Linked DNA regions of Callithrix jacchus. The protein of the gene in region 1 purifies or fractionates together with the protein of each later gene. This does not show direct contact. Links are inferred from orthologs where the notes say so. Each region holds a gene or a part of one and is shown on either strand. Other genes may lie near its edges.

Region 1 (10,065 bases):
CAGAGAGCATGTACAATAAAGGAGAGAAAAAGGATGGCAGAATGGGTGGGACAAACAGAGAAAAGACAACCTCAGCACGCCAGTAATTACATCAAATGTAAATACACTAAATATAAATAATTCACTTTAAGTGAATTAACTTTTTAAGAGCTTTCAGACTGGATTTTAAAAATTCCAAGAATACCCTGTTTTCAAGAGATAAATCTAAAATACAAGAGGTACAGAACTTTGGTGGAACAAGATGTATCATGCAAATACTAACCGAAAGAAAGACTGTTTTGGTATATCAGGTAAAAGAAGCCTCACGGTAAACAGCACTAAGAGATAGAGAGTCACAACATAATAAAAAGGTTCCATTCACCAGAAAGATATTAATAATTAAAAATTTGTATGTATCAAATAAGGCAACTTCAAAATATATAAAACTAAGATCAGCAGAACTTCAGGACAGTCAAATCCACTACCATGCTGATAAGCGCAAGAGCGAAGAGCTTTAAATACAACTCAAGTTCTTTAACCACACCTGTCATGAGACACACTGCCTATAAATGTGTATTTCGAATTGAGTACTTCACACACTTGTACTCATGTACTCACATGGCCATGGACCAGTGCTTTCTTATGTTTGTAGTTAAGCATCTCCTGGAGAATCTGAAGGATGCTATGGACCTTGTCCACAAGGAGTGAACACAGTTCATTCTCGACAATCAGGGCAATAAGGAAGGTTAGGTCATAAACCAAAATTAAGTTTACAGTTTTTTTGAGCTGAGGTCTCATTCTCTTGCCCTGACTGGAGTGCAGTCGCATGATCACGGCTCACTGCAGCTTTGACTGCTGGGGCTCAAGCGATCCTCCCACCTCAGCCTCTGGAGTACCTGGGACCACAGATACACACTGCCACATCTGCCTAATTTTTTTGGAGGGGGATGGAATCTCCCTGTTACCCAGGCTGGAGTGCGGTAGTGCGAATTCAGCTCACTGCAACCTCCTCCTCCTGGGTTCAAGCGATTCTCCTGTCTCAGCCTCCCGAGAAGCTGGGATTACAGGCGCCCACCACCACACCCAGCTAATTTTTGTATTTTTAGTTGAGACAGGGTTTCACCATACTGGCCAGGCTGGTTTCGAACTCCTGACCTCAGGTGATACGCCCACCTCAGCCCCCACAAAGTGCTGGGATTACAGGCATGAACCCCTGCGCCCAGCCTTTTTTTTTTTTTTTTTTTTTAATTACTCATAGAAAAGAGGTCTCACCATGTTGCCCAGGCTGGTCTAGAACTCCTGGGCTAAACTGATCCTCCCACCTTGGCCTCCTGAAGTGCTTAGATTACAGGCAGGAGGCATGGCACTTGGCCTACAACATGAATTTAAACGTCCAGTGTTTAAGTGAAAATTTAGGTTACAATACAATATACAGTATGTCAGTTACGTTAAAAATTAGATACTAAGAGCAGAAATTTTAACAGTATATAAATAAATAGGTCAAAATAATCATATCCACATAGTGCAGGGGACACCTGCCCCAAGTTCCAAGGGGACGGTTCATCTGAAGAAGAGTAAAGCAAGGTTTCTAGACCAGAGCTGTTCAACAAGATCTCATGCACACACACGTCATCTAAACTTTTCTAGTAGCCATGTTAAAATAAGCAGGCGAAGCCGATTTTAGTAATATGCCATTTAAGCCATTATCCAAAACATTATCATTTCAACATCGATATAAAGACGTTACTGAGTTTCCTTTTCTTTGCACTTAAGTCTTTGAAATCCAGCGTGTGTTCTCTAGCTCTAGCACATCTCAGTTTGAGTTACTGGACACTGCAATTCCAGCAAATGACATAGGACTTTATGGCCCTGGGTTAGGGGAAGCTTAAACATCAAAACTGCTACAATAAAGGAAAAGATTGATAAACTGAACTGTACCTAAATTAGGAACTTTTCTAACAAGACATCCCAAGTCAAAAGATAAGTAACAGTAGGAAAATATTTGCAACATACAGTTGCAGAACCCAAAAGGCCCAGATCCTGACTTAGGAAAAAGGTAAAAAAGAGGAGATTATTTTCTGTGAGATTTTCTAGAATTTGTAAATTTCTGTAGGAAGCACATAGTACCTTTAACTCCACCCACCAAATACATTTTCCTTCTATGCAGCTTACCAGTTCGACGAGACTATTATTGGTGAGAATGAGTTCTGTCAGACAGGGCAGAGCCTGATCCAGTCCCTCACCTATACGGCTAAAATAAAAAGAGAGTCTTAGCAAAAATGAAAATTAAATAAGCTAACAATTTCATCTACCTCCCTACTCAGAGAATCTGAGAGACACTTACAGATCCTTCTTCCAACACCCTGATGAAGAGGAAACAAGGCAAAAAGAAGAACCCTTTTCTGAGGACACAGGGTCAGTGACAGAAGTGGGACGAACCCAGGCCTACGGGACACTGCCTGGAGCTAATGCTGCCGCCCCATCTAGCGGAACCTGAGAAAAGGTGCAACTCTGGGCGGCACAAACTGCTTAACTCTCTTCATGACTTTTTGTGCAGGCAGCAGAGAAATGCAAATTATTCTGCATTCACAGCTCAGGTACAAGACACAGCAACTACACTACAGGGGAATAATGAACCTATGAAAAAGATTTCTATCTGAAGGAAATCCCACTCACCACCCAGCACTTTTAAAGACAGTATCTATAAACCGAGTGCTTTTTTTTCCAATAAAGTTTACACAGAGCTGATGAAGGCAGGGCCAAAAAAGACCCCAATTTCAGTAATTAACAGTCTAGAAATTAGCTGCAGTTAAAAAAAAATATCAGAGAAGCTCAGTCAAAAATATAATCGTTACTTTTCTATATCCTTTTACTATGACCCCTTTGATAAGTGTTTTAGAAGCCAAAATGTGTACAAAGCACCATGTTTTTAATTTAAATTAGAAACTTACCACGAAAACAAAAACACATGATTTCGGAATAGACACAAGTAAGACTAGACTAACGCCAGGTTAATCTCTGCATCTCTAAAGGAAAAGTTCATTTCTCATTTTAAGAAGAAACATGTATTGAACATGGCTCCCATTATGGAAAAAATATAAAAACTAAAAAAAAAGAAACACATAGGTTTAACTGGTAGTATGTGCTGCAACTTCAGGGAACACTGCAACATTTACCGCAGGTGGAAAATTACTTTCCCCAGCAGACCCTTACCATATTCTGTTGTTGTTCACTAACAATGTTTTTAGTCTTCTCAGCAAAGGAAAGCCATCCAGTTTCCTGATCTCATTGTCAGAAAAATCAATCGCATCAAACTGGTCTAGCGTAGCACCTAGATTTTCAATGACGGGAATTTTATACCCTGTAAAATGGAGGAAAAAAAACACACAAGAGGTATTAATATAACTAAACAGCCTCTTAAAAGATGAGCAGTATTTCACAGGAATCAGACTCCAGGCCTTGATTCACTCAGGAAGTATTACTTACCTAGCACCTACGCCATGTTTCCTACGCCTTGCCACTGCACAAGGTACTAGAGATAAAATGCTGAATGAGGGTGGCAAGTCCCCAGTGCCATGAAGCTTACAGTCTGATGACAACAGGGACAAGGACAGTAATGATAGGTGAGATAGTTAGCTAACATTTATAAGACCATTTACAAGGTGCACACTGTTCTACGTCTTCAGGGCTAGTTAGGCGGAAGCAGCACAACAGGAATTTACCACTTCGGGCTGCTCAGTTTCAGTGCCCAAACAAGGTTCCAACACCGTGGACAACAGTTCTCCACCTCTTGCACCCCCACAGGCCAGATTCTTAGAACCCATCAGAACAGCCTCAAGATGACAGTTCTCCCTTCTCTCCCCCAGCTCCAATTCACAGTTGGAGGTCAATGGTTTACATACTTAATTTGTCTAAGTTGGGCATTATTATGTTAGGAGCTAAAAGAAATATTCCAAAGAAACAAGGTCTATTTAAAAAAAAAAAAAAACTCAGCCAAAGTTAAAGTACACAACTCAGGGCTGTACTACAAGTACTGCATCAAAAGAAGTATTCTCAACACTGCACGCACTCCACAGAGAGAAATGGCAGAGATCACCGTAAGTGATGATTTGCTCTTGAACTGAACCTTTCTCTAAGAAACTTAAATTCAACAAAATAAAAATACTGGGCCAGACGCGGTGGTTCAAGCCTGTAATCCCATCACTTTAGGATGCCGAGGTGGGTGGATCGTCTAAGGTCCGGAGTTCGAGATCAACCTGACCAACATGGAGAAACCCTGTCTCTACTAAAAATATAAAGTTAGCCGGACGTGATGGCACATGCCTGTAATCCCAGCTACTCGGGGGAGGCGGGGAGGGCTGAGGCAGAAGAATCGCTTGAACCCAGGAGGGGGAGGTTGCATTGAGCCAAGATTGTGCCATTGCACTCCAGCCTGGGCAACAAGAGCAAAACTCAGACAAAAAAAAAAAAAAAAAGGAAAGAAGAAAGAAAGAAAGAGAGAGAGAGAAAGAAAGAAAGAAAAAACTGGGGGCTGGGCGCGGTGGTTCACGTCTGTAATCCCAGCGCTTTGGGAGTCCAACGGGGGCAGATCACTTGAGGTCAAGAATTCAAGACCTGCCTGACCAACATGGTGAAACCCCATCTCTACTAAAAATACAAAAATCAGCCAGGCGCAGTGGTACATGCCTGAAATCCCAGCTACCCGGGAGGCGGAGGCACAAGAATCACTTGAACCAGGGACGCAGAGTTTACAGTGAGCCGAGATCACACCACTGCACTCCAGCAAAGGGGAAAGAACAAGACTTCATCTCAACGCAACACAACACAACACAAAACAATGCGATTCCCCAAAGGTCAGCAAGAAATCAAAGCAAATCCCGAGACCATAGGTCCCCGTGGGAATCTCAGGCTACGACTGCACTGCCGTACCCCAGAGAAGTTGCTCTTCACATTCTTTCTAAAGCGGTCTCCTGAAATGCCAACTAGCTAACTGCCCTCCCAATTTCTTACCAAGTCTTACTAAGGTTGAAATAGTACAGGAATCTAAATAATTGTGAGCGCTTCCGCAACTTACACACAGCACCCGGCGGTGGAAGCCTGGGTGAAACAGTTCAATCTTTAAAACGTCTTCACGAAGGGGAAACGCCAAACAATTAAAGCTACTAAGTAGAAAATACTGGGGTAGCCGGGCGCGGTGGCTCACGCCTGTAATCCCAGCACTTTGGGAGGCCGAGGCGGGAGGATCACGAGGTCAAGAAATCGAGACCATCCTGGTCAACATGGTGAAACCCCGTCTCTACTAAAAATCAAAAAATTAGCTGGGCATGGTGGCGCGTGCCTGTAATCCCAGCGACTCAGGAGGCTGAGGCAGGAGAATTGCTTGAACGCAGGAGGCGGAGGTTGCGGTGAGCCGAGATGGCGCCATTGCACTCCAGCCTGTGTAACAAGAGCAAAACTCCGTCTCAAAAAGAAAGAAAGAAAGAAAATACTGGGGTAAACAATCGCTTTTGTTCGGGGACTTAGTTTCTTCCATCACATTAAGAATAATGAAGACATATCCTATCTACACTCACAATATCATCTGGCGGCAAGTACTGAGAACCAATCACTCGCCCTGCACTAGGGTTACCACCGTTAATGAGTCGCTCTTCCCGGCCCTCAGAGTCCGCTACGAAACAGCCAAGCAAGGCCTAACAGAGCCCCACGAGCATGCAGCAGGGAGTAATGAAATCACCCGTGCTTCTCAGGAGGCACAGCAGTAACAGAAGGCTCCCAAGAGCCTAACGGGACGCGCGCTTGGCAACAACGGCAAGAATCAGGCAGGGCGGTCTCGGCGCAGCCCGATCCGGGTCTAGATTACCCACCCGCGGGCCAAGCTCCGGCCTTCGGTGCACGCGGCGGAGCGCGGATCGTAAGGCGGCGCAGTGCCGCCCTGGGACTGCCCGCCCGCGCCCCCGGACTCACCTCGGAGGTCCAGCTCCCGGTCGCGCACCGCATTGGTGTATTGGGCCGCCTGCTCGATCAACTCCGCCGTCAGCTTGACCATTCTGCCGCCTCTGGCTTCCCAGCGTAGCCGAAAGGACGCTGCCTCCTGCGTCCCAACGTGCCCCGCGCCGCGCCGCGCCGCCAGGCAGCACCAATCGCATCCGCCGAGTGCGCGCGCAGCTCGACCGCCAGGCCGAAGCAATCGAAGAGCCACGCCCCCGGGGTTGTTCTGGCCCCAAGTCCTGGCGCGCGCGCTGGGGACGTGTTTGTTTCTGGGTTCTTTCCTGGGGTGTATCTGGAGTCTGATGGACCTCAGATTCCAGACGTTGGTGTTTAAAAGTTAAGGCGAATGTGGAAACACCCGAGGGGAACTTTCTCATGCACTAGCTCACCTTGAGGTGGGAGGGGAAGCTGTGATTGTCCCCAGCAGGCGCGGGGACCCGTGGGCTTCAGTGAAGGGTCGACGAGTTCAGGTACCTGTCCCGAGCCTAGACCTTGGCCCCAGGCTACAGCGTGAGCTCCCGGGCTAGGTGACCCGCCCGGGGCAGGTCGCTGGGACAACTCCACCGCCCCGCCAGTGCAACCCGGTCGCGGGCACGGTAGGGTTTGCCGTTAGGTTTGCGGCCTTTAGACTTCTGAATATTCATATAAAGTATGATATACAGAAAAGTGTGCAAATCAGGTGTTTACAGCGTGACTAATGACCAGAGTGAACACAACTGCATAGCCGACGCCGGGATCCAAAAAAAACCCACTGTTTTGAAAACCTCCCTCTTCGCAAAGGCAACCGCAAACTCAACACCACAGACTCGTTTTAGAAATTCCATTTGACCCAGCAATCCCGTTACTGGGTATATACCCAAAGGATTATAAATCATTCTGTTATAAAGACACATGCACACGTATGTTCATAGCGGCACTATTTACAATAGCAAAGACCTGGAAGCAACCCAAATGCCCATCAGTGATAGACTGGACAAGGAAAATGTGGCATATATGCACCATGGAATACTATGCAGCCATAAAAAACGATGAGTTCTCATCTTTCATAGGGACATGGATGAATCTGGAAACCATCATTCTCAGCAAAGGACACAAGAACAGAAAATCAAACACCGAATGTTCTAACTCTCATTGAACAATGATAACATGGACACAGGGAGGGGAGCATCACACACTGGGGTCTGTGGTGGGGACAAGAGAGGGACAGCGGGGAGTGGGGGCAGGTCGGGGAGGGATAACATGGGGAGGAATGCCAGATGTAGGTGATGGGGTGGGGGAGGATGGAGGCAGCAAACCACTTTGCCATGTGTGTACCTACCCAACAATCATGTATGATCAGCACATGTACCCCAGAAACCTAAAGTATAATTAAAAAAAAAAAGTAAAAAAAATTTGGAAAAAACTAAAAAATAACAATAAAAAATATAAATTTTTAAAACTGAAAAAATAAATAGAATCCCACAGTATCCTTTTTTTTTTTTTTTTTTTTTTTTTTTTGGCCTAGTTTCTTTGCGTCTATGTTATGTCTGGAGTCCATCCAAGTTACATACAGAGATGGTTTGTTTGCTTGCACTGCTGAAGAAAATTCCATTGTATATATTATACTGTAATTTTCAATTACTTATTCTGCTGTTGATGGACATCAAGGTTGTTTTCAGTTTAGGGCTATTCTGAGTAATGTTGCTGTAAATTTTCGGGTATGTGGATGAGTTTCTCCTGGAGTGGAATTGCTGGGACTTAGGGTGTGATATGTATCATCCATAAGTAATGCCCAACAGTCATGCTAAGAGGCTGAAATACACACTCCCTCCGCGTGTAAGGGTTTTCATGGCTTCCAGCTTCAGCCGTGTCGGCATTTTAAGTGTCTCACTTTAGTCGTTCTCATGGGTGTGTGGGGTTACTGCTCTACTGCTTTTCTTTTCTTTTCTCTAATAACTAATGAAGCTGAGAACCTTTCATGTGTATGTTGCCCATTCTGATAGCTTCCTTTGTTAAGTGCCTTTTCAAGTCCCTTACTCAGTTTTTTCCTTACGGAGTTGTCTGCCTTTTTTCTTACTGATGTGGGGAATTTCTTTATAAAGGATATGAACACGCTCTGTGGCTTGCCTTTCCACTCTTAATGGTATTGTTTGATGATTAGAATTTTTTTTTTCTTTTGAGTCACAGTCTCGCTCTGTCACCTGGGCTGGCGTGCAGTGGTGCCATCAGGACTCTCTGCAGCCTCGACCTCTCAGGCTCAATCAGGACTCACTGCAGCCTCGACCTCTCAGGCTCAAGAGATCCTCCCACCTCAGCCTCCTGAATAGCCAGGACTACAGGCACAGGTCAACAGTCCTGGTTAATTTTTGTATTTTTTGTAGAGATGAGGTTTCAGCATGTTGTCCAGGCTGGTCTCCAACTCCTGAGCTCAAGTGATCCACTTGCCTACAGGCATGAGCCACCACCCCCGGCTGAGAAGTTTCCGATTTTTATGTAGTTCGATTATTTTCTTTACGTCAATGGGTTGGGTGTGCGTACACATGCATGTGCCTTACGAAATCTTTCCTTACCCCCATCATATTTTCCTATGTGACCTACTAGAAGATTGTTTTGCCTTTCACATTTAGTTCTATAATCCACCTTGACTTGATTCTTCTTGAGTTTTTTTTGTTTTGTTTTGTTTTGTTTTTTTGAGACGGAGTTTCACTCTTGTTACCCAGGCTGGAGTGCAATGGTGAGATCTCGGCTCACCGCAACCTCTGCCGCCTGGGTTCAGGCAATTCTCCTGCCTCAGCCTCCCCAGTAGCTGGGATTGCAGGCAAGTGCCTCTATGCCCAGCTAATTTTTTGTACTTTTTTTAGTAGAGATGGGGTTTCACCATGTTGACCAGGATGGTCTCGATCTCTTGACCTCGTGATCCACCCGCCTCGGCCTCCCAAAGTGCTGGGATTACAGGCTTGAGCCACCGCGCCCGGCCTCTCTTCTTGAGTTTTTATTGAAGTATGATATACACAGAGAAAAGTGCAAACTGAACAGACTCAAGCAAATAACATCCTCATAAGAACAGGACATTGTCGCGTTTTAGAAGCCCTCCTCCCGTCTTAGTCTAGCCACCACCCTTGCCCCAAGGGTAACTATTAGCCTGACATCTTGTATAGATTTGCTTTGCCTCATTTTGTATTTATGCAAACGAAGTACCTTACATATATTTTGCTTAACATTGTGTTTGTGTGTAGATATAGTTCATTTATTCTCACTGTAATATAGTAGTTAATTGTGGATGTTTTACAATTTACTTATCCATTCTGCTGTTGATTAGCATTTGGTTAATTTTTACTTTGGACCTTTTGTGTTATAAATAGTATACCTACAAACATTATAATGCATGTCTTTGAACACATATACTGATATATACCCAGGGATGGAATTACTGGGTCATAGGGTTTACTTATGTTCAGCTTAAGTAGAACATAAGTTTTCCAAAGTGGTTGTACCAACTTAAACTCCTTGCTAACATTTAGTATTGTCTGTCTTTTTAATCTTAGCCATTCTGGTAGATTGGTAATGGTATGACATTGTGGTTTTAATTGTATTTCCCTGATTACTAACATAGTTGAGAACTTTAAAAAATATATTTATGTTCATTTGAATAACCTCTTTATTGAAATGTTTGTTTAGGTGTTTTGCCCGTTTTTCTATTGGGCTTTTTAAAAAAATGGATTTGTAGGAGCTCTTTATATTTTTTAGATAGGAATCTTTGTGAGATATGTCTGTGGTGAATATCTTCCCCTGTGGCTTGTGTTTTCACTCTCTCTTTTTTTTGAGACAGAGTTTCGCTTTTGTCACCAAGGCTGGAGTGCAATGGCGTGATCTCCGCTCACTGCAACCTCCGCCTCCTGGGTTCTGGCAATTCTCCTGCCTCAGCCTCCTGAGTAGCTGGGATTACAGGCACGCACCACCATGCCCAGCTAATTTTTTGTATTTTTAGTAGAGACGGGGTTTCACCATGTTGACCAGGATGGTCTTGATCTCTTGACATTGTGATCCACCTGCCTCGGCCTCCCAAAGTGCTGGGATTACAGGTGTGAAATCATTAGTTTTAATATATTAAAATACAAT
Region 2 (9,965 bases), on another chromosome or scaffold:
AAGCAGCTCTTGGTCTGCAAGATTCAGATGATGAGGATGCTGCAGTTGATGTAAGTTCGGTTATTCTTTCATTCTTAATTGAAGTGATTGTTTCTTTTGTACTGGAGGTCTTGTCATATGCTTGTCAAGATAACTAATCATTGGAAACCTTCTTTGGGAGAGGATGGTTCTAGAATAGTTTTGGAAAATCTGCCTAGTACATACCAGTACTCCTCCTCTTGATATGTAGACCACTCATTAGCACATCAAAGGATGTGAAAAAAATTTTTTTTGATCTGGAGTCTCACTCTGTCACCCAGCCTGGAGTGCAGTGGCGTAATCTCAGCTCACTATAACCTCCACTTCCCAGGTTCAAGCAATTCTCTTGCCTCAGCCTCCTGAGTAGCTGGGATTACAGGCATCCACCACTACACCTGTCTAATTTTTGTATTTTCAGTAGAGACGGGGTTTCACTGTCTTGGTGAGGTTGGTCTCAAACTCCCAACCTCAAGCCATCCACCCTTCTCGGCCTCCCAAAGTACTGGGATTACATGTGTGAGCCACCGCACCCGGCTGTGGATATGAAAAGTCTGTAAGGAAGCTTGTTTAACTTTGTTAGTTAAACCCAGAAATTCCCCAGCGTATCTGATCACAGAACATTTTTTGACATAACACACTAAACTTAAGCTCAGAAAACATGGTTGGAAATCAGGAATTCAATCTGATCTTATCATCAGAAAATTGACTCCAAGAAAAGATGTTAGGTCCAGGACCATAGTAGAATACACAGAGTCAGGACCGGAACCCAGGTGTTCCATTAACCCTAAACCATTTATTTCTAGGATACCATACTAGCTCAAAATGTAATAAAGTATTTGTTTTTTTATTTTTATTTTTATTTTATTTTTTGAGACGGAATCTCGCTCTGTTGCCCAGGCTTGTGTACAGTGGCATGATCTTGGCTCACTGCATCCTCCATCTCCAGGGTTCAAGCAATTCTCCTGCTTCAGCCTTCTGAGTAGCTGGGATTACAGGTGCCCCTGCCACCACACCTGGCTGATTTTTATAGTTTTAGATAGAGACGTAGAGGTGGGGTTTTGCATTTTTAGATAGAGATGTAGAGATAGGGTTTCACCCTGTTAGCCAGGCTGGTCTGAAACTCCTGACCTCAGGTGATCTACCTGCCTTGGCCTCCCAGAGTGCTGGGATTATAGGTGTGAGCTGCTGCGCCTGGCCAGTAAAGTTATTTTTAAATTTATCTGTTGCCATGAAACAAATCAAAACTTAGCAGGTTAAAGCAATACACATTTATTATCATAGTACCTGAGGGTCAGGAAATCAGCAGCAGTTTAGCCAGGTAGTTCTGGCTTAGGCTGTCATGAGATTGCAGTCATCTGCAGGCTTGGCTGTTGCTGGATGATCTGCTTCCAAGATGGCTCATTCACTCTGATGTTTACTGGATGCCTCAGTTTTTCACCTCTTTGCCTCTCCTTATCCACATGGCAGCTGGCTTTCCCCACAGTGAGCGATCCAGGAGAGAGAGCAAAGAGAAAGCTTTAGTGTTTTTTATGACTAGTCTCTGAAATTACACACTGTCACTTCCACTTTATTATTTGTGGGTTTTTGTTTTGTTTTGGAAACAGAGTCTGGCTCTGTCACCCAGGCTGGAGTGCAGTGGCGCAAACTAAGCACACTGCAGCCTCTGCCTCCTGGGTTCAAGCAGTCTTCCCACTTCAGCCTCCCGAATAGTTGGTACTATAGGTGTACCATCATGCCTTGTTAATATATATTTAAAAATGTTTTTATGTAGAGTGGAGGTCTCACTATATTGCCTAGGCTGGTCTCATACTCCTGGCCGCAAATGGTTCTCTTGCCTCAGCCTACCAAAGTGATGGCATTACAGACATGAGCCACCATGCCCAGCCATTGTATTAGAAGGAAGTCCTTAAATCCAGCCCACACTCAGGAAAAAAGACTATGAATTTGTAGCCATGTTTTAAAAACATCTGTCACTTCTCGATATTATGGTAGTTTCCCCTTATCTGTGGTTTTTGTTGCCATAGGTTAATCACGGTCTGAAACTATTACAGTATTTTGAGAGAGAGAGACCACATTCATATAACTTTTATTACAGTATATTGTTACAGTTGTCCTATTTTATTATTGTTAGTCTCTTATTGTACGTAATTTATAAATTAAACTTTATCATAGTTATGTATGTATAGGAAAAAACAATGTATGTCTGCGTGACACTATTTGTGTTTTTAGGCATCCACTGGGGTTCTTGGAGTATATTCCATGTGAATAAGGGAAGACTGCTGTACTTTTAACATTTTTTAAAAGAAATCTCGTGATAAAATATGGTGATTGTTTCTTTGGGTGTTAAAGTAATATGTAATTTTATGAAAAATGAACAGTACTTAACATGAATAAAATCAAAAGTAAGTTTAGCTCTATCAGCTAGCATTGTATACTTCCCCCATTCCTGATTTTATGAATTTGTTCAGATTGTAATACCATGCATCCTATTTAATTTAAAACAGTTTTACTCAGGTAAATGTTGAGTTTTAAAAGTAGTTGATAAACTGACCCCCTGTTGGTTTTTTGTTTTGTTTTCTTTTTATGAGACAAGGTCTCTCTGTCAGTCAGGCTAGAGTGCAATGGTGTGATCTTGGCTCACTGTAACCTCAACCTCCTGGGCTCAGGTGATTCTCCACCTTAGGCTTCTGAGTATCTGGGACTATAGGCGTGTGCCACCATACCTGGCTAACTTTTATATTTTTTGTAGAGATGAGATTTTGCCATGTTGCCCACACTGGTCTCAAACTCCTGGCTCAGGTAATACTCCTGCCTTGGACTCCCAAAGTGCTGGGGTTATAGGAGTGAGCCACTGTGCCTGGCCATAACTAAAACCCCTTAATAGGTAGTGAATGTTTTAGGAAGAATCTAAGGCTGGGTGTGATGTCCTATAATCCCAACACTTTGGACGGCCAAGGTGAGAGGATAGCTTGAGCCCAGGAGCTCAATACTCTCCTAGACAAGGAGACCTTGTCTCTATGAAAAGTTTTTTAAAAATTAGCTGGACGTGGTAGTGCATGCTGTGGTCCCAGCTACTCGGGAGGCCGAGGTGTGAGGATCCCTTGAGCCTGGGAGTTAGAGGCTACCCTGTTTCAAAAAAATCAAAAAGTTAAATGGACTGTTTTTATTTCTGTAAAAGACTTTTGTAAATTAACCTAATTAAGTTTTAAGCCCTAAAGAAACTTCTGTGCATTTGAGATCTAGAAGATACAGCTTTATTAATCTAATGTAAATTTCTGAAGGGGCTTGTATTTCTATAGTCAGTGATATCAGTAGTCATTGTTGGGCAAAAGGCATTTTTTTAAAAAAGAAATGTACATAGCAGTAGCATTCATGTGACTTCTGTCAAAACAAAGCTTTCATCATTGCACTTGCCTTGATGGGGAAACAACCTGCATTTATTTCCTTTCTTGATTCAAAGGAATAAGGGAATAAGCCTTTTCTGGTTCAGTTACCCAGTTTTCAAGGCAAATCCAATTGCATTTTATGGGTTAGGAAGAGTTTTGAGAGCTTTGCCTTAGGAACGTGTTATACTATTCCCCTTGAGAATTATTGACTGTATTTTTAGTTGGCCACTGACCTTGAGTTATAGCCCTTTTTCCAGCCTCTTTCATTGCAGTATAATTTGGTCTCAAGGCTTGAGCCCTGGGGCAACTCAGCTGCATCATATTTGCTGTTCTGTCTTGACAGCACATGTTTCCTCATTTATTGAACAGGGATGTAGTTTCTGGGCCTCTCAGGAGTCTGATGAAGTGGTTCATGCAGTGTTGTTTCTCTGTTTCTGTTTTTTTTCCCACCATAGACAACTGATATTTGAAATGAGACATGTGACTTTTAACAAATAGGTGGTATATTTTCCCATTGATCTACGTAGTAGGATTTGCATAAATATTTCCAGCCTGTTGGTGGAAACATTCCTTATTTATTTCTGTAGAATAACCTAATTTGGTATTTCTAATTCAGTTTTTTTACTTGTCCTTTTTTTGCTTTTGATCTAGATTGATGAGCAAATTGAAAGCATGTTTAATTCAAAGAAGAGAGTAAAGGATATGGCTGCCCCTGGAACATCAAGTGTTCCTGCTCCAACTGCAGGAAATGCTGAGAAATTAGAAATTGCTAAGAGATTGGCTCTTAGAATCAATGCTCAGAAGAATTTGGGCATCGAGTCTCAGGTATTAAGTAATTTGTTCCAAGTCTCAGTCAATACATTTTTTTTTTTTTGAGACAGAGTATTGCTCTTGTTGCCCAGGCCAGGAGTACAATGGTGTGCTCTCAGGTATTAAGTAATTTGTTCCAAGTCTCAGTCAATACTCTTTTTTTTGAGACTGAGTTTTGCTCTTGTTGCCTAGGCTGGAGTGCAATGGCATGATCTCGGCTCACCACAACCTCTGCCTCCTGGGGTCAAGTGATTCTCCTGCCTCAGCCTCCCGAATAGCTGGGATTATAGGCATGTGTCACCATACCCAGCTAATTTTGTATTTTTAGTAGCAATGGGGTTTCTCCATGTTGGTCAGGCTGGTCTCGAACTACCGACTTCAGGTGATCCATTCACCTCAGCCTCCCAAAGTGCTGGGAGTACAGGTGTGAGGCACTGCACCAAGCTAAAACTTTTAATAAGTTCTTTGATTTTATTTTTCAAGGATTATGTTGAGCACAAGTAAACAAGTTGTCCTGGACATTGAGTTTGTGAGAATTTAACATTCTCAACATAGGATTTTTTTTTATAATTGTATTTGGATGATTTTTCTAGTGCTATTAACTGAGGACTTTATGCCTGTTCTAGACTTTCTAACTATTAGCCATAGGTAGTTTTATAGAGTAGTATTCTGATGGGTCTTAACAAAACCGTTAAGATGTATGAATAATTCTGTTTCTTTATAAGCTTTCATTGGGTTATTGGGCATACAACTCCCTGGATGTACAAACACCTAGTTAAATGACTCAAATTAACATGGGCTTAAATGGAGAAATGTAATTTTTACATATTTCATGATACCTCTTTCTTGGAAGCGTATTTGTTATTTTGAAGCTTTTGAGTCAGTCATTATCACATTTTTAATGCTGGGTTGGGTCATGGGGAGGAAGGAACTCAGTGATGGTAGTAGTATAAACTTTCAAATTTGGAGGAAACTCCTAGGAGTTACCAAGTATGTAAATGATTCTGGAAATATTTACTGTATCTGACATCAAGAGTTAGTTAATTATCAGCTGCATCTCTATGATCTAGTAGAATATATAATAGAGAGTTGAATATTTTCCAGTTTTTTTATTCACAGGGAAAAACATTAAACTATGTTATAATTATGTATTGCTAAATCACATGTCAGTGGGGCTATGCATTAGAAGTGTTTATTTATTAAACTTGCATAAAAGTTAGTAGCTTTTCAGAGAATAATTTGTGGTGGGTTCCCTACTCTTGTCTCTGCCCTCATTTGAGATTTAACTGTAAGTCTTCTCTAACTACAGGATGTGATGCAACAGGCCACCAATGCAATTCTTAGAGGTGGCACCATTCTGGCTCCCACGGTGTCTGCAAAAACCATTGCAGAACAACTTGCTGAAAAGATCAATGCCAAGCTCAATTATGTGCCTTTAGAGAAACAAGAAGAAGAGAGACAGGATGGTGGACAGAATGAATCTTTTAAGAGATATGAAGAAGAATTAGAGATCAATGACTTCCCACAGGCAAGTAACAGTTTTAAACCTTTTTTTATTGTGAAGCAGAAAAAGCAAAAATCTCATCTTTAAAACCCATGAATATTTTAATAGCTACTTCACTTTTTACCTAAATGGAGGATGTAACAATAGAAATTTGACTTTTATGAATATGTTCAGTGTACCTTAGGATCTAAATGAACTTATGCAGGTATGTGTTAATAATGATCTTTGTTTTGTTTTTGTTTTTTTGAGACGGAGTTTCGCTCTTATTGCCCAGGCTGGAGTGCAGTGGTGTGATCTTGGCTCACTTCAACCTCTGCCTCCTGGATTCAAGTGATTCTCCTGCCTCAGCCTCCCGAGTAGCTGGGATTACAGGCATGTGCCACAACACCAGTCTAATTTTTTTTGTATTTTTAGTAGAGATGGGGTTTCTCCATGTTGTTCAGGCTGGTCTCGAACTCCCGACCTCAGGTGATCTTCCTGTCTTGGCCTCCCAGAGTGCTGGGATTACAGGAATGAGCCACAACATCATGCCACCACGCCTATCCAAGAATGATCTTAATATTGACCATAGGGCAAAGCGCGGTGGCTCACACTTGTAATCCCAGCACTTTGGGAGGCTGAGGTGGATGGATCACCTGAGGTCGGGAGTTCGAGACCAGCCTGACTAACATGGTGAAACCCCGTCTCTACAAAAAAAAAAAAAAAAAATAGCTGAGCGTGGTGGCACATGCCTGTAATCCCTGCTACTCGGGAGGCTGAGGCAGGAGAATCACTTGAACCTGGAGGTGTAGGTTGTGGTGAACCAAGATCTCACTGCCTCAACAACAAGAGCGAAACTCTGTTTCCAAAAAATATATATATATATTGACCATAATGTGATATCAGTCAGCCTAGTCTTTGTTAGCACTCCTGGGTTTTTTTGTCTTGTTGTGAAGTGATTTTTGTTTTCCTTACCTTTTCTTTTAGACTGCTAGGTGGAAAGTTACCTCTAAGGAAGCTCTACAGAGAATCAGTGAATACTCTGAAGCTGCAATTACAATCAGAGGAACATATTTCCCTCCTGGCAAAGAACCCAAGGAGGGCGAGCGGAAGATTTACTTGGCAATTGAAAGTATGTGCTGTTGGTTCTGTTTCAGTCTTCAGTTTAGATCAAGGTTGATGTAGATGTAATAGACACAGAGAGAATGTGAGGTCAATTCTAGAGAGAACTGAAAGTAAGGAACGCCTCTGACAAAAAAATTTCATGTCATTTGAGGTCTTTATTTAGAAATTCAGTACGTATGTAAAAGTAAATGATCTGTTTGTGAGACTCAGTTTTGACAAATCAAATTTGAAAATTAAAACAACATTTTGAGGACTGACCTTTTTATGCTTAGGTATATTCTGGCCTAAGTTTAGGTTGGAATGTAAATCAACTATATTAATCCACTTAATGAATGTTTATCTAGGCAAATATTGCCTGTGAAATTATGCTCATGAAAGTTTATACCTTTAACAAAATAACAAGTAGACAATTAACGCCATAATCTAATGGATACAAATAATACATTATTACATTATCTAACAGCAATCAGGTTTTTCTTTTTTTTTTTTTTTTGAGATGGAGTCTTGCTCTGTTGCCCAGGCTGGAGTGCTGTGGCACTATTTTGGCTCACTGCAACTTCTCCCTTCCAGGTTCAAGCAATTTTTCTTCCTCAGCCTCCCGAGTAGATGGGACTGCAGGCGCCTGCCACCATGCCTGGCTAATTTTTGTATTTTTAGTAGAGATGGGGTTTTACCATATTGGCCAGGCTGGTCTCACAAACTCCTGACCTTTAATCCACCGGCCTCAGCCTCCCAAAGTGCTGGGATTACAGGTGTGAGCCATCATACCTGGCCGGTTCTTAACTTTATTTCATACATTTATGAATGAATTTATTCCAGAGGCAATTTCCACTTTTAATTATTTTTTCACTCAGGCTGGAGTGCAGTGGTGCAGTCTCAGCTCACTTCAGCCTTAACCTCCAGGGCTCAAGTGATCCTCTTACCTGAGCACTTCCAACTAAGACTACAGGGCCGTGTTACCACACCTAGCTAATTTTTTTGTATTTTTTGTAGAGAAGGGGTTTTGTTATGTTGCCCAGGCTGGTTTTCAATTCCTGAGCTCAAGTGAACTGCCTCTGCTCAGCCTCCCAAAGTGTTAAGATTACAGGCATGAGCCAATGCACCCAGCCTATTTTATTTTTTCTGATGTGTTACTCCGTTGCATAGTAGGATACCCTGTCACACTTTTTGTTTTCCCTGAGACTGAGTCTTGCTCTGTCGCCCAGAGCTGGAGTGCAGTGACGCAATCTCGGCTCACTGCAACCTTTGCCTCCTGGGTTCAAGCGGTTCTCCTGTCTTGGCCTCCCAAGTAGCTGGGATTACAGGTGCACACCACCACACCTGGCTAATTTTTGTATTTTTATTAGACACGGGGTTTCACCATGTTGGCCAGACTGGTCTTGAACTCCTGACCTCAGGTCATCTACCCACCTTGGCCATCCAAAGTGCTGGGCTTACAGGTATGAGCCACTGCGCCTAGCCAGGTATTTTCTTAGTGGTTACCCAGTGGATTGCAATTAACATCTTTTTTGTTGTTGTTGTTGTTGTTGTTGAGACAAGTGTCTCTCTCTTTTGCCAGGCTGGATTGCAGTGGCACAAACTCAGCTCACTGCAACCTCCGCCTCCCGGGTTCAAGCAATTCTCTTGCCTCAGCTTCCTGAGTAGCTGGGACTACAGGCGCATGCCACCAATTTGGGTTGTTTTTTTTTTTTGTATTTTTAGTAGAGATGGTCTTTCACCATGCTGGCCGGGATGGTCTCGATCTCCTGACCTCGTGATTCACCCACCTCGGCCTCCCAAAGTGCTGGTATTACAGGTGTGAGCCACCGCACCTGGCCAATTTCACCTTTAAAAAATTCTTTTTTGCCTTCATTTTGGAAGAATACTTTTCTAGCCATAGAATTCTTGCTTGATAGTTTTGTTTTGTTTTCCCTTTGGTGCTTTGAATGTCATTCCATTGCCTTCTGGCCTCCATGAATTCTGAAAAGAAATCTGATGTTAATCTCATTGAGGATCCCTTGTAATAAGTGATAGGTTGCTTTTCCAGAATTTAGTAGTCTCTATTCTTTTTCATGTGTGGCTACTGATGTCTTTTGATAGTTTTATTTTGTGCTTCTGTGTGGGTCTCCTAGAGGGTTTTTGGGTTTTGTTTTAGATTTTTGGGTATGCATATATACATATTTTTCATCAAATTTGGGGATTTTTGTTAATTCTTCAGCTGTTCTTTCTGCCCCTTTGTATCTCCTCTGAAACTCACATTGTGCATATGTTGTTGAAATTGATGATGTCTTACAGGTCTCTTAAGCTTTATTCATTTTTCTTCATTACTTATTTTTTTCCTGCATTCTCTGATTTGATTACAGTTGACCTACCTTCAAGCTTAGTCATTCTTTCTTTGGTCTCATCAAATCTGCTGCTGAACTCTTTTAATGAATTTTTCATTTCCATGACAAAGTTTCTTTATTTCTATCTCTTTATTGATAATATTATCTATTTAATTGGACATCATTGTCCTGGTTTTCTTTAGTTCTTTATCTGTGGCTTTCTTTAGCTATTTGCATGTATTTAAAATAGTTGATTTAAAATCTTAGTCTAATAAGTCTAATACCTTGATTTCTTTTTTTTTTTTTTTTGTTATAAAGAAGGGGTTTCACCGTGTTGGTCAGGCTGGTCTTGAGCTCCCGACCTCAGGTGATGCACCCGCCTTGGCCTCCAAAGTGCTTGGATTACAGGTGTGAGCCACTGCACCCAGCCTAATACCTTGATTTCTTTAGGGACAGTTTCTGTTTATTTTTTTCCTGTGATCAGGTCATACTTTTTTTGTTTTGTTTTGTTTCTGGTTTTTTGTTTTTTTTTTTTTTTTTTTGCTTGCTTCTTAGTTTTTTGTTGAAAACTGGACATTTTGAATATTATCATGTTAATTGGAAATCAGATTTTTCCCCACTCCCTATTGTTTGTTCCTGCTGCTTATTGTTGTTCAGTGACATTTCTGAACCGTTGTTTTAGTAGTCTCTATTCTTTTTCATGTGTGGCTACTGATGTCAGCTAGTCATTAAGTCTAGCTTTTGCTTTGTGTTTGCACAGTCTGAGGTCAGCAGAGATGAGAGCTTAGGGCCTTCTCAGGTCTTTTCTGAGCATGTGCCCAGCCCTGGTTGTACACATGG
Region 3 (9,965 bases), on another chromosome or scaffold:
AGTTTGCTGAATTCTATAATAGACTCAAGCAAATAAAGGAATTCCACCGGAAGCACCCAAATGAGGTATGAGAAAAGAATAGGTCTTTTCTCCAGACCTATTCTTAAAGCATACTAAAGGAAAGGAGTAAAGGAAACTGGACATGTGCTATTCTAATGAACTTCAAGAAAGAACTTGACATTTAGCTGCAAGGACCATAGTTAGCTAACATTCTACAACTGCAGTGTTTTCAGCATCCCCCCTCATCTTTTAAGCCAAGGCCGCATTTCATGTGCGGCCCCCAACCAGTGACTGAGCACAGTTTGGGTACTGGGCCAGCAATTTGGTCCACTGTGAGACTCCTCTGATTATTAGTCTTTGCTCCACAGCTCCCTGTTGGGTTGGTCAAGATTTTGTCCAATCTGCATGTGGTTTAGGCTATCCTGGCCTAATCCTGCTTTCTCTTCCTTTTTACCTTCACAGAAATTACTCTTCCCAATAAATTGTGCTTCTAACTCTGTCTTGAAGTCTTCTACCTAGAGGATCCAGTTAACAAGATAATTTTACTCATTTCCAAAGTTCATTTCACATTAAGGATTCAGCTCAGAGGCAAACTCTTTCATGAAATATTTTTCCTAGTCTGCCTTCTGCCGAAAATCAGTCTTTCTTTATGATCCTATTGGTTTTTTTGTTTTGAGATAGAGTCTTACTCTATCACCCAAGCTGGAGTGTAGTGGTGAACCACTCTGTCTTTGGGTTTAAGTGATTCTTCTGCCTCAGCCCTCAAGTAGCTGGGATTACAAGGCAGGCAGATGCCACGTCCAACTTTTTTTTTTTTTTTTTTTTTTTTTTTTGAGACAAAGTCTTGTTTTTGTCGCCCACGCTGGAGTGCAATGGCTCGATCTCAGATCACTGCAACCTCTGCCTCCCAGGTTCAAATGATTCTCTTGCTTCAGCCTTCTGAGTAGCTGGGATTACAGGCACCTGCCACCACACCTGGCTAATTTCTTTGTGTTTTTAGTAGAGGCAGGGTTTCACTACATTGGCCAGGCTGGTCTGGAACTCCTGATCTCAAATGATCTGCCTGACTTGGCCTCCCAAAATGTTGGGATTACAGATGTGCACCCCTATACCCGGCCCCTAATGTATTTTATGACAATAAATGTCTGCCCTGCCATACCGTAATGTAAAGAGCAGGATTTATGTCTCAATTATCTAGAACCCACACGGCACTTTACACAGCTGACCAAAGGGGTCAATGGGGCAAGATATGGCTGCAGGGAGGGTGGAGAAGGATGAGTCAAAAGATTATTCTGAGTTTTTGTGACTATAACTAGAAAGTTGTTTGTTCTCTTGATAGAAATAAAAGGCTAGCCATGGTGGCTCATACCTGTAATCCCAGCACTTTGGGAGGCTGAGGCAGGTGGATCACCTGAAGTCAGGAGTTCAAGACTAGCCATGGCCAACATGGTGCAACCCCATTTCTACTAAAAATACAAAACTTAGCTGGGCATGGTGGCAGTTGCCTGTAACCCCAGTTACTCAGGGGGCTGAGGCAGTGAGCCAAGATCACGCCATTGTACTCCAGCCTGGGCAACAAGAATGAAACTGTGTCTCAAAAAAAAAAGAAAGAAAGAAAAGAAAAGGAATAAGGAGGTAACCCATTTGCCATAAGAAATAAGTTTTTATATATGTAAATTTTTAAATAGAGGTATATCTAGGAATAGAAATGTCTCTTGAGCAGTTACCGCCACACAAGAAGTAAAGGCTTATGATTTAGAATTGGGAATCATCACATTGATTTGTTGGTTGATAAATCCTTGAGTTCTGAGGCAAGAGAATGTGAAGGGAGTCTGTCAGAGCCTCTCCATATGCCTTGGAGCTCACTTGTAATAAGGTGGGTCATAAAAAAAGGGCCTGGGAAGACCTTCATCACTGCTCCAGGTGTTGTCAAAAGAGAGATTCAGAAAGGCAGTCATGGTTACCGATTGATAACTTCCAGGATGGCTATTTAATTCAAGTAGTAGGAATAGAAATCTGGTCACAAGGTAAAGATGGGTAATGGAGAAGTAGAGGTATGGAATGTGGAATGTGCATTGGAAAGGCTGGTAGGGGCCGGAAGCAGTGCCTCATGCCTGTAATCCCAGCACTTTGGGAGGCTGAGGTGGGTGGATCACCTGAGGTCAGTTGTTCAAGACCATCCTGGCTAACATGGTGAAACCCCATCTCTACTAAAAATAGAAAAAATTAGCTGAGCGTGGTGCGACACGTCTGTAGTCCCAGCTACTTGGGAGGCTGAGGCAGGAGAATCGCTTGAACTCGGGAGGTGGAGATTGCAGTAATCATTCCACAGTACTCCAGCCTGGAGACGGAGTGAGACTTCATCTCAAAAAAAACAAAAAAGCATACATGTTTGAAGGAGCACAGGGAAAAAGGAAGATATTAAATATAGCAAAAAAAAAAAAAAAAGAGGCTATTTATTGTAGTGCAGAGGTAAATGAAGGCACCCTCATGCACATAGCCCCATTGAAGGATAGAATGTGAGGTCTTCTGCTAACCAAGAGAGAATAGATAAATACCATTCTGTTGTGTTAACCTTATTCCAGCCATGGTCAAAAGGTGATGAGGAATAAATGGTTGAATGACTGATTAGAAGGATGTCCAAGGTATACCAAGTGCCAGAAACAGGTCTTTATGTAAAAAATAAAAATCTGTGCAGGCATGAATGTGCTTGTACAAATACATATATTTAAATCCATAGAGCAGTGGTTTCCAAACTTTGTGCATATTTGAGTCACCTGGGGATTTTTAAAAAGTACTGATACTTAACCATCCTCTGATTTAATTGGTATTGGGTGCATCAGGATTTTTTTTTTTAAACTCCCCCAGGTGATGCTAATGTGCAGCAAAGTTTGGCAATCACTGGCATAGAAAAAACTGTTACAGTGGTTACCTGTTCCGAGGATAATTAATAAAGGTGGACTTTTGTTTTTTCTTTTTGTATTGTTTGAGGTTTTCTGAGCATATGTTACTTTAGTGAGTTTTACTCAAGCAGTATAAAAGTGAGGGGAGAACAAGGTAATTGAAGAACTACTGTTCTGGGTAGACTCTTAGTGAAAAATCAAGGCCATATATAGCATCAGAAGTCCAACTTTCTGTGTACTTCATTTCTGTGATCTTGTAACTTTTACATTGAAAATTCTACCTGAGGCTGGGCGTGGTGGCTCATGCCTGTAATCTCAGCACTTCGGGAGGCTGAGACAGGCAGATCACTGGAGCTTAGGAGTTTGAGACCAGCCTGGGCAACATGGCAAAAACCTGTCTCTACTAAAAATATAAGAATTAGTCAGGTGTGGTGGAGTGCCTGTAATCTCAGCTACTTGGGTGGCTGAGGCAGGAGAATCGCTTGAACCCAGGAGATGGAGGCTGCAGTAAGCCAAGATTGTGCCACTGCACTCCAGCCTGGGCAACAGAGCGAGAGTCCATCTCAAAAAACAAAAAAAATGAGGGCCGGGCGCGGTGGCTCACGCCTGTAATCCCAGCACTTTGGGAGGCTGAGGCGGGTGGATCATGAGGTTGATACCATCCTGGTCAACATGGAGAAACCCCGTCTCTACTAAAAATACAAAAAATTAGCTGGGCATGGTGGCAGGGGCCTGTAATCCCAGCTACTCAGGAGGCTGAGGCAGGAGAATTGCCTGAACCCAGGAGGTGGAGGTTGCGGTGAGCCAAGATCATGCCATTGCACTCCAGCCTGGGTAACGAGTGAAACTCTGTGTCAAAAAAAAAAAAAGAGAAAGAAAGAAAAATCCACCTGAGCTTTCACTTTTCCCTTCAGATCTGTGTGCCAATGTCAGTGGAATTTGAAGAGCTCCTGAAGGCTCGAGAGAATCCAAGTGAAGAGGCACAAAGTGAGTAGAGGTGAACATTTCATTCAACACCAGCAGCAGTTACAGGTCATGCAGCCATGGCCTCAGATATTGATAACCAGGTTTTCTTGTTGGTTTTGTCTTTGCTGCTTTCTGGGCTAGAGTGACATTCTAAATTGGTCTTGGGCAAAATGTTTCTTTTGTTCTCTCCTACCTAAAATTTACTGGCTTGGAAAGCCAAGCATTATTCACTTTAGTTCACAATACTAAAATGAGTCAGCCCATGTTACCTTGTAAGAGAACACTCACTTTTGATCTCACTTATTGGAGGTTATATTGTGAGCACAGGGAGGATATTTGGGTGACATGCTGCCTCAAGAAACTAGGAACAAGCAGTCCATTTGAAAAGGTAAGTTCAAGAGAGTGGTCTGTAGAATCTGAATCATTGATGTATTTGATTCCCTCAGACTTGGTGGAGTTCACAGATGAAGAGGGATATGGTCGTTACCTTGATCTCCATGATTGTTACCTCAAGTACATTAACCTGAAGGCATCTGAGGTAAGACCTGGGAGAGGAGAGAGAGATTCTGATTCTAGAGGTAAGTCAGGACACTAGGCTGGGACTGCTAGACGTGAAGCCATTGTAGAGTGTCTTGTGTTTTCAAACTGTTATGTAAATAATATCAAAGAGGTGATAATGAAATACTATTCAAAATGAAAATTTTCTACAGTGAAAACATTTATTAATAAATTTTATTTTTATTTTATTTTTTTTGAGATGGAGTTTCGCTCTTGTTACCCAGGCTTGAGTACAATGGCGCGATCTCGGCTCACCGCACCCTCAGCCTCCTGGGTTCAAGCAATTCTCCCGCCTCAGCCTCCTGAGTAGCTGGGATTACAGGCACGTGCTACCATGCCCAGCTAATTTTTTGATTTTTAGTAGAGACGGGGTTTCATCATGTTGACCAGGATGGTCTCGATCTCTTGACCTAGTGATCCACCTGCCTTGGCCTCCCAAAGTGCTGGGATTACAGGCTTGAGCCACCACGCCCGGCCAATAAATAGTATTTTTTTATTTTGAGATGGGGTCTTACCATGTTGTCCAGTCTGTAATGCAATGGTGTGATCTTTGCTCACTGCAACCTCCACTTCTGGGCTCAGCCTTCTGAGTAATTGAGACTGAGACTACCACCACACTTGGCTAGGTTTTTTTTTTTTTTTTTTTTTTTTGTAAAGATGGGGTTTTGCAGTGTTGCCCAGTCTGGTCTCAAACTCCTCACCTCAAGTGATTCTCCTTTTTCGGCCTCCCACAGTGTTGGAATTACAGGCATGAGCCATTGTGCCCAGCCCATTATCAATACAACAAGTTTTGTTTTTTTTTTTTTTGAGATAGGGTTTGTTTGTTTTTCTTTCTTTTTTTTTTTTTTTTTTTTTTTCTGAGACAGAGTTTCCCTCTGTCACCAGGCGCCAGGCTGGAGTGCAGTGGCGCAGTCAATCTTGGCTCACTGCAACCTTCGCCTGGGTTCAAGTGATTTTTCCGCCTCAGCCTCCCGAGTAGCTGGGACCACAGGTGCGTGCCACCACGCCCGGCTAATTTTTTGTATTTTTAGTAGAGACGGGGTTTCACCATGGCCAGGATGGTCTCGATCTCTTGACCTTGTGATTCGCCCACCTTGGCCTCCCAAAGTGCTGGGATTACAGGCGTGAGCCACTGTGCCTGGCCTAAAATTCTTATTTTTAAAAATAATTATCACGTTCCTGTTTTAGGTACGTGGAAGATAAAACAACTTGATCTTTCTGTCAGCAAAAAGCTATTTAATGTCTTTTCTTAAAGATGTTTAAACATAGCTTATCACATTAATGTCTTTTCTTAAAGATGTTTAAACATAGCTTATCACAAGAGATGAGGTTTAATATGACAATATCAGAAGAGTCACCAGGAAATACATGATTAGATTCTTCATGGAGTTGTGAGGAAATGTCCCAGAAGTACAGTGCCCAAACTTGAAGTTCCATGGGGGCAGGTCAGGTCCCTTGTCTGTTTTGTTGTCTTCTATACCCTGTACTTGGTACAAAGATGCTCAATAAGTGGTTACGTGTGTGAGTAAATGGCAACTTTCAGGACCTTACTTTAGGATATTAGAGTCTTTAACCAAGAGCCCAGCATGAGGTAATGATCAACAAATGTTTCCTTTAGTTTACTGTTTATTAATGTGATCTTTATTTTGTAAAGTTAATTATGTCTGATATTTGCCTGATATGTTTATTTTGTAAAGTTAGTTATGTCTGATATATTCCTACTTTATTTTGTAAAGTTAATTATGTCTGATATTTTACGGTCCAGTGAAATTAACACTCCAAATTGTAGTAGGATTGAATTATGGGAAAGCAAAAAAACCAAAATGGCCAGCCCTTGTTACCTTGTTAGAAAACACTCAATTTTGATCTCACTTAGGAGGTTATAACTTGTTCCAGTATAAATACCTAACTAAATTTTGTATCATTTCTTTCCTCTTTTCAGAAGCTGGATTATATCACATACCTGTCCATTTTTGACCAATTATTTGACATTCCTAAAGAAAGGAAGAATGCAGAATATAAGAGGTAGGTGTTAAGAGCTTCTATGCCTCTCCTGGATTTGATTAGAAGACAGTGTGAAGGTTTTGAGGGTGAAGTTACGAATTAGTTGCTTGGAAGGCATACATGAAGGCGTACTTCCTTCATACATGAAGGTTTATTGGAGGCTAAGGATTATAAATGATGTGGTTTTAAAACCTTCGAGATACTCTGGTTGTGGGCAAGGGTGTATCTGTGGACATATCTTCTATCTTATGCCCATACTGTTCTTAATTTTGTCTCACTGTAGAAGGAACTCTCCCACTCTGGGACTTCTGTGTTTTTGGAGTTTAATGGGAAAAAAATTAGACTTTCTCAGATTGTGACTGGAGTGAGATGCTTGGGTATGATGTATAAGTGAAAAATGTATGTTTTTGTTAGTTGCTCCCCTTATTAGTGATTTTATACCCTTTCTCTCTTTTTCTTATTTTCATTTTCCTGAAATATTTTCTGTGCGAGATTAGCATTATTTCATGAGAATAAAAGGAGGTAGGAAAGGTCAGAATCAAAATGATATGTCAAGAAAAAAGTCCGTTATAGGTTCATTTAAAAATGATTATTAAAAAATACTATTACTAGAATTATAAGTACTATTTATTCTACAGGGAATATAACAAGATACCAAAAATATAAACCCTTTTTGCTTTCTCTTTGTTACGTGTTCCTCTGTAGATACCTAGAGATGCTGCTTGAGTACCTTCAGGATTACACGGATAGAGTGAAGCCTCTCCAAGATCAGAATGAACTTTTTGGGAAGATTCAGGCTGAGTTTGAGAAGAAATGGGAGAATGGGACCTTTCCTGGATGGCCGGTGAGCTACAGTGGGGTGTGAATGGTGGACATGCCAGGGAATTGAACTGATTATTTTCCTTTATCTTGAGCTTCCACTTTAGGGCATTAGGTATCAATTCCTTGGTATCATTTGTGACCATGAGGTATTCCCTGCCGAGTATGCTAGGTTTTTCTGTGTGTACTTTGGAGCAAGATTATCAGGGCCCACTTGCCTTGGACTGTGCCCAGATTTTCGCCAATCATATCATTACTGCCATGTGGTTTCTGCTTACCAAAAGCTTATTCAATCATATGTTAGGAATCTGTATTCTTGCTTGTGGGGATAAACCTGAGTTTTTCCTGAACTCCCCAGGCAGGGAATGTGGACCAACTTTACCTTCATCCTAAACCTGTTTTGTTTTTTTGTTTTTTGGAAGCAAGTTTTCCATCTTGCTCCTAGGCTGGAGTGCAGTGGCACAATCATACCTCACTGCTGCAGCCTCAACTGCCTGGACTCAAGAGATCCTCCCACTTTAGACTCCTGAGTAGTTGGCACATGCCACCATACCCAGCTAATTCATGTATTTTTTTGTAGAGATGGGGTTTCACCATGTTGCTGTGGCTGATCTCTTAACTTCTGAGCTCCAGCAGTTCACCCACCTTGGCCTCTCAAAGTGTTGAGATTACAGTTGTGAGCCACCACGCCCGGCCTAAACCTGGACCTTAATAAATAACATGTTGTTCTTCTTTCCAGAAAGAGACAAGCAGTGCTCTGACCCATGCTGGAGCCCATCTTGACCTCTCCGCATTCTCCTCCTGGGAGGTATGTTTCCTTCAGCGGTAGTACTGTTCTCCCTGTCTATCTTTCAGAGGGACCACTTGCTCTCCTGTCTTTAATACCGTGGTTGTGTTGTGATAAGGCACTCTTTCCTGGGATCAAGCATCTACAAAGAAGGTAGCAAGGTAAAAAGAAAAAAATAACTACTTGGGAAACTGAAATAATCGCTCTAACTACATTAAGCTGTAGTAACAGTAATAGTTAATACCAGTATGTTTAAGTCTGAAGATGACTACAGGCTCAGTCCTCTGGAGAGTTTAGACTTACTGCCAGATCGGCTATGAAATGTGTGGTCCTGCCACAGCCTCAGGAACACCCACCCACTGGCCTGCATTTGTTGTTTCCCAAAAATCTCAATTGTACTTTTTCTCTTTGTACAGGAGTTGGCCTCTCTGGGTTTGGACAGATTGAAATCTGCTCTCTTAGCTTTAGGCTTGAAATGTGGCGGGTAAGGAATGGTTTTTCTATCAAAACTGTTTGATTTACTGTGTGTTTGCACAGTCTTCTAAGTAGCTCTGATTACGTATTTTTTTCTGTTGCTCCAAACTGCAAAAATAAGCAAGCCTGTGTGATAAAGTAACCCTGAAATCCTTTGCCTGTTCTGTCTCCTTAGGACCCTAGAAGAGCGAGCCCAGAGACTATTCAGCACCAAAGGAAAGTCCCTGGAATCACTTGATACCTCTTTGTTTGCCAAAAATCCCAAGTCAAAGGGCACCAAGCGGTGAGTGGCTGGGGTAGCACCTCTCTTTGTGGCTTTTGAATGTCATTCCCATGCACAATTTTTAACCACAGTGGAGATTTTAAATTAGAGTCTGCTTTATTCCCATTATTGGTTGACAGATTCAGCCTGCTCTTTTGTATTTTAAGTAGAGACGGGGTTTCACCATATTGGCCAGGCTGATCTTGAACTCCTGACCTCGCAATCTGCCGGCCTCGACCTCCCAAAGTGCTGGGATTACAGACGTGAGCCACTGCGCCCAGCCAAAAAATATTTTTCTAAGCTTATTTTTGGTAATGAAAGTTGAATCTAATTCTTGAGCTGCATACTTATACAGGGTCTTTTCTTTTTTTTTGACACACAGTTTCGCTCTGTCACCCAAACTGGAGTTCACCTCCCAGGTTCAAGGGATTCACTTGCTCAACCTCCTGAGTAGCTGGGACTACAGGTGTGCACCACCACACCTGGCTGATTTTTGTATTTTTAGTAGAGATGGGTTTCGTCATGTTGGCCATGCTGGTCTGCATCTCCTGAGCTTAAGTGATTCACCCACCTTGGCCTCCCAAAGTGCTGAGATTATAGGTGTGAGCCACTGCACCCAGCTGAGGGATTTTTTTTTTCTTTTTTGAGATGAAGTCTCACTCTTTTGCCCAGGCTGGAGTGCAGTAGCACAGTCTTGGCTTATTGCAACCTCTGCCTCCCAGGTTTAAGTGATTCTCCTGCCTTAGCCTCCCGAGTAGCTGGGATTATAGACACCTGCCACCATGCCTGGCTAATTTTTTGTATTTTTAGTAGAGACAGGGTTTCACCATGTTGGCCAGGCTGGTTTTGAACTCCTGACCTCAGGCAATCCACCTGCCTTGGCCTTCCAAAGTGCTGGGATTACAGGTGTGAACCACTGTGCCCACCTAATTTTTGTATTTTTAGTACAGACAGGGTTTCACCATGTTGGCCAGGCTGGTTTTGAACTGACCTCAGGCAATCTACCTGCCTTGGCCTTCCAAAGTGCTGGGATTACAGGCATGAGCCGTTGCACCCGCCCAATTTTTGTATTTTTAGTAGAGACGGGGTTTCACCATGTTGGCCAGGCTGGTCATGAGTGCCTGACTTCAAGCGATCCTCCTGCCTCAGCTTCCCAAAGTGCTGGGATTACAAGCATGAGCCACCGCGCCTG

What was found.
Region 2: the proteins of SNRPA1 (region 1) and DDX46 purify together in Homo sapiens (affinity purification with mass spectrometry; 3 studies listed by BioGRID and IntAct, counting the BioPlex papers as one, with this or other methods). This does not show direct contact. The link is inferred for Callithrix jacchus from reciprocal best matches to the Homo sapiens genes SNRPA1 and DDX46.
Region 3: the proteins of SNRPA1 (region 1) and SF3A3 purify together in Homo sapiens (affinity purification with mass spectrometry; 6 studies listed by BioGRID and IntAct, counting the BioPlex papers as one, with this or other methods). This does not show direct contact. The link is inferred for Callithrix jacchus from reciprocal best matches to the Homo sapiens genes SNRPA1 and SF3A3.

What each region holds. Positions count from the first base shown.
Region 1 is NC_133507.1:8,682,323-8,692,387, reverse strand, and holds the start of SNRPA1 (U2 small nuclear ribonucleoprotein A'), read right to left. Parts: upstream 6,092-10,065; 5' UTR 6,026-6,091; coding exon 5,944-6,025; intron 3,341-5,943; coding exon 3,193-3,340; intron 2,231-3,192; coding exon 2,152-2,230; intron 1-2,151. UniProt on the Homo sapiens protein: Involved in pre-mRNA splicing as component of the spliceosome. Associated with sn-RNP U2, where it contributes to the binding of stem loop IV of U2 snRNA.
Region 2 is NC_133503.1:33,229,021-33,238,985, forward strand, and holds part of DDX46 (putative ATP-dependent RNA helicase DDX46), read left to right. Parts: coding exon 1-50; intron 51-4,055; coding exon 4,056-4,232; intron 4,233-5,523; coding exon 5,524-5,742; intron 5,743-6,684; coding exon 6,685-6,829; intron 6,830-9,965. UniProt on the Homo sapiens protein: Component of the 17S U2 SnRNP complex of the spliceosome, a large ribonucleoprotein complex that removes introns from transcribed pre-mRNAs.
Region 3 is NC_133508.1:74,553,343-74,563,307, reverse strand, and holds part of SF3A3 (splicing factor 3A subunit 3), read left to right. Parts: coding exon 1-65; intron 66-3,817; coding exon 3,818-3,890; intron 3,891-4,315; coding exon 4,316-4,407; intron 4,408-6,369; coding exon 6,370-6,452; intron 6,453-7,136; coding exon 7,137-7,275; intron 7,276-7,989; coding exon 7,990-8,058; intron 8,059-8,453; coding exon 8,454-8,521; intron 8,522-8,686; coding exon 8,687-8,794; intron 8,795-9,965. UniProt on the Homo sapiens protein: Component of the 17S U2 SnRNP complex of the spliceosome, a large ribonucleoprotein complex that removes introns from transcribed pre-mRNAs.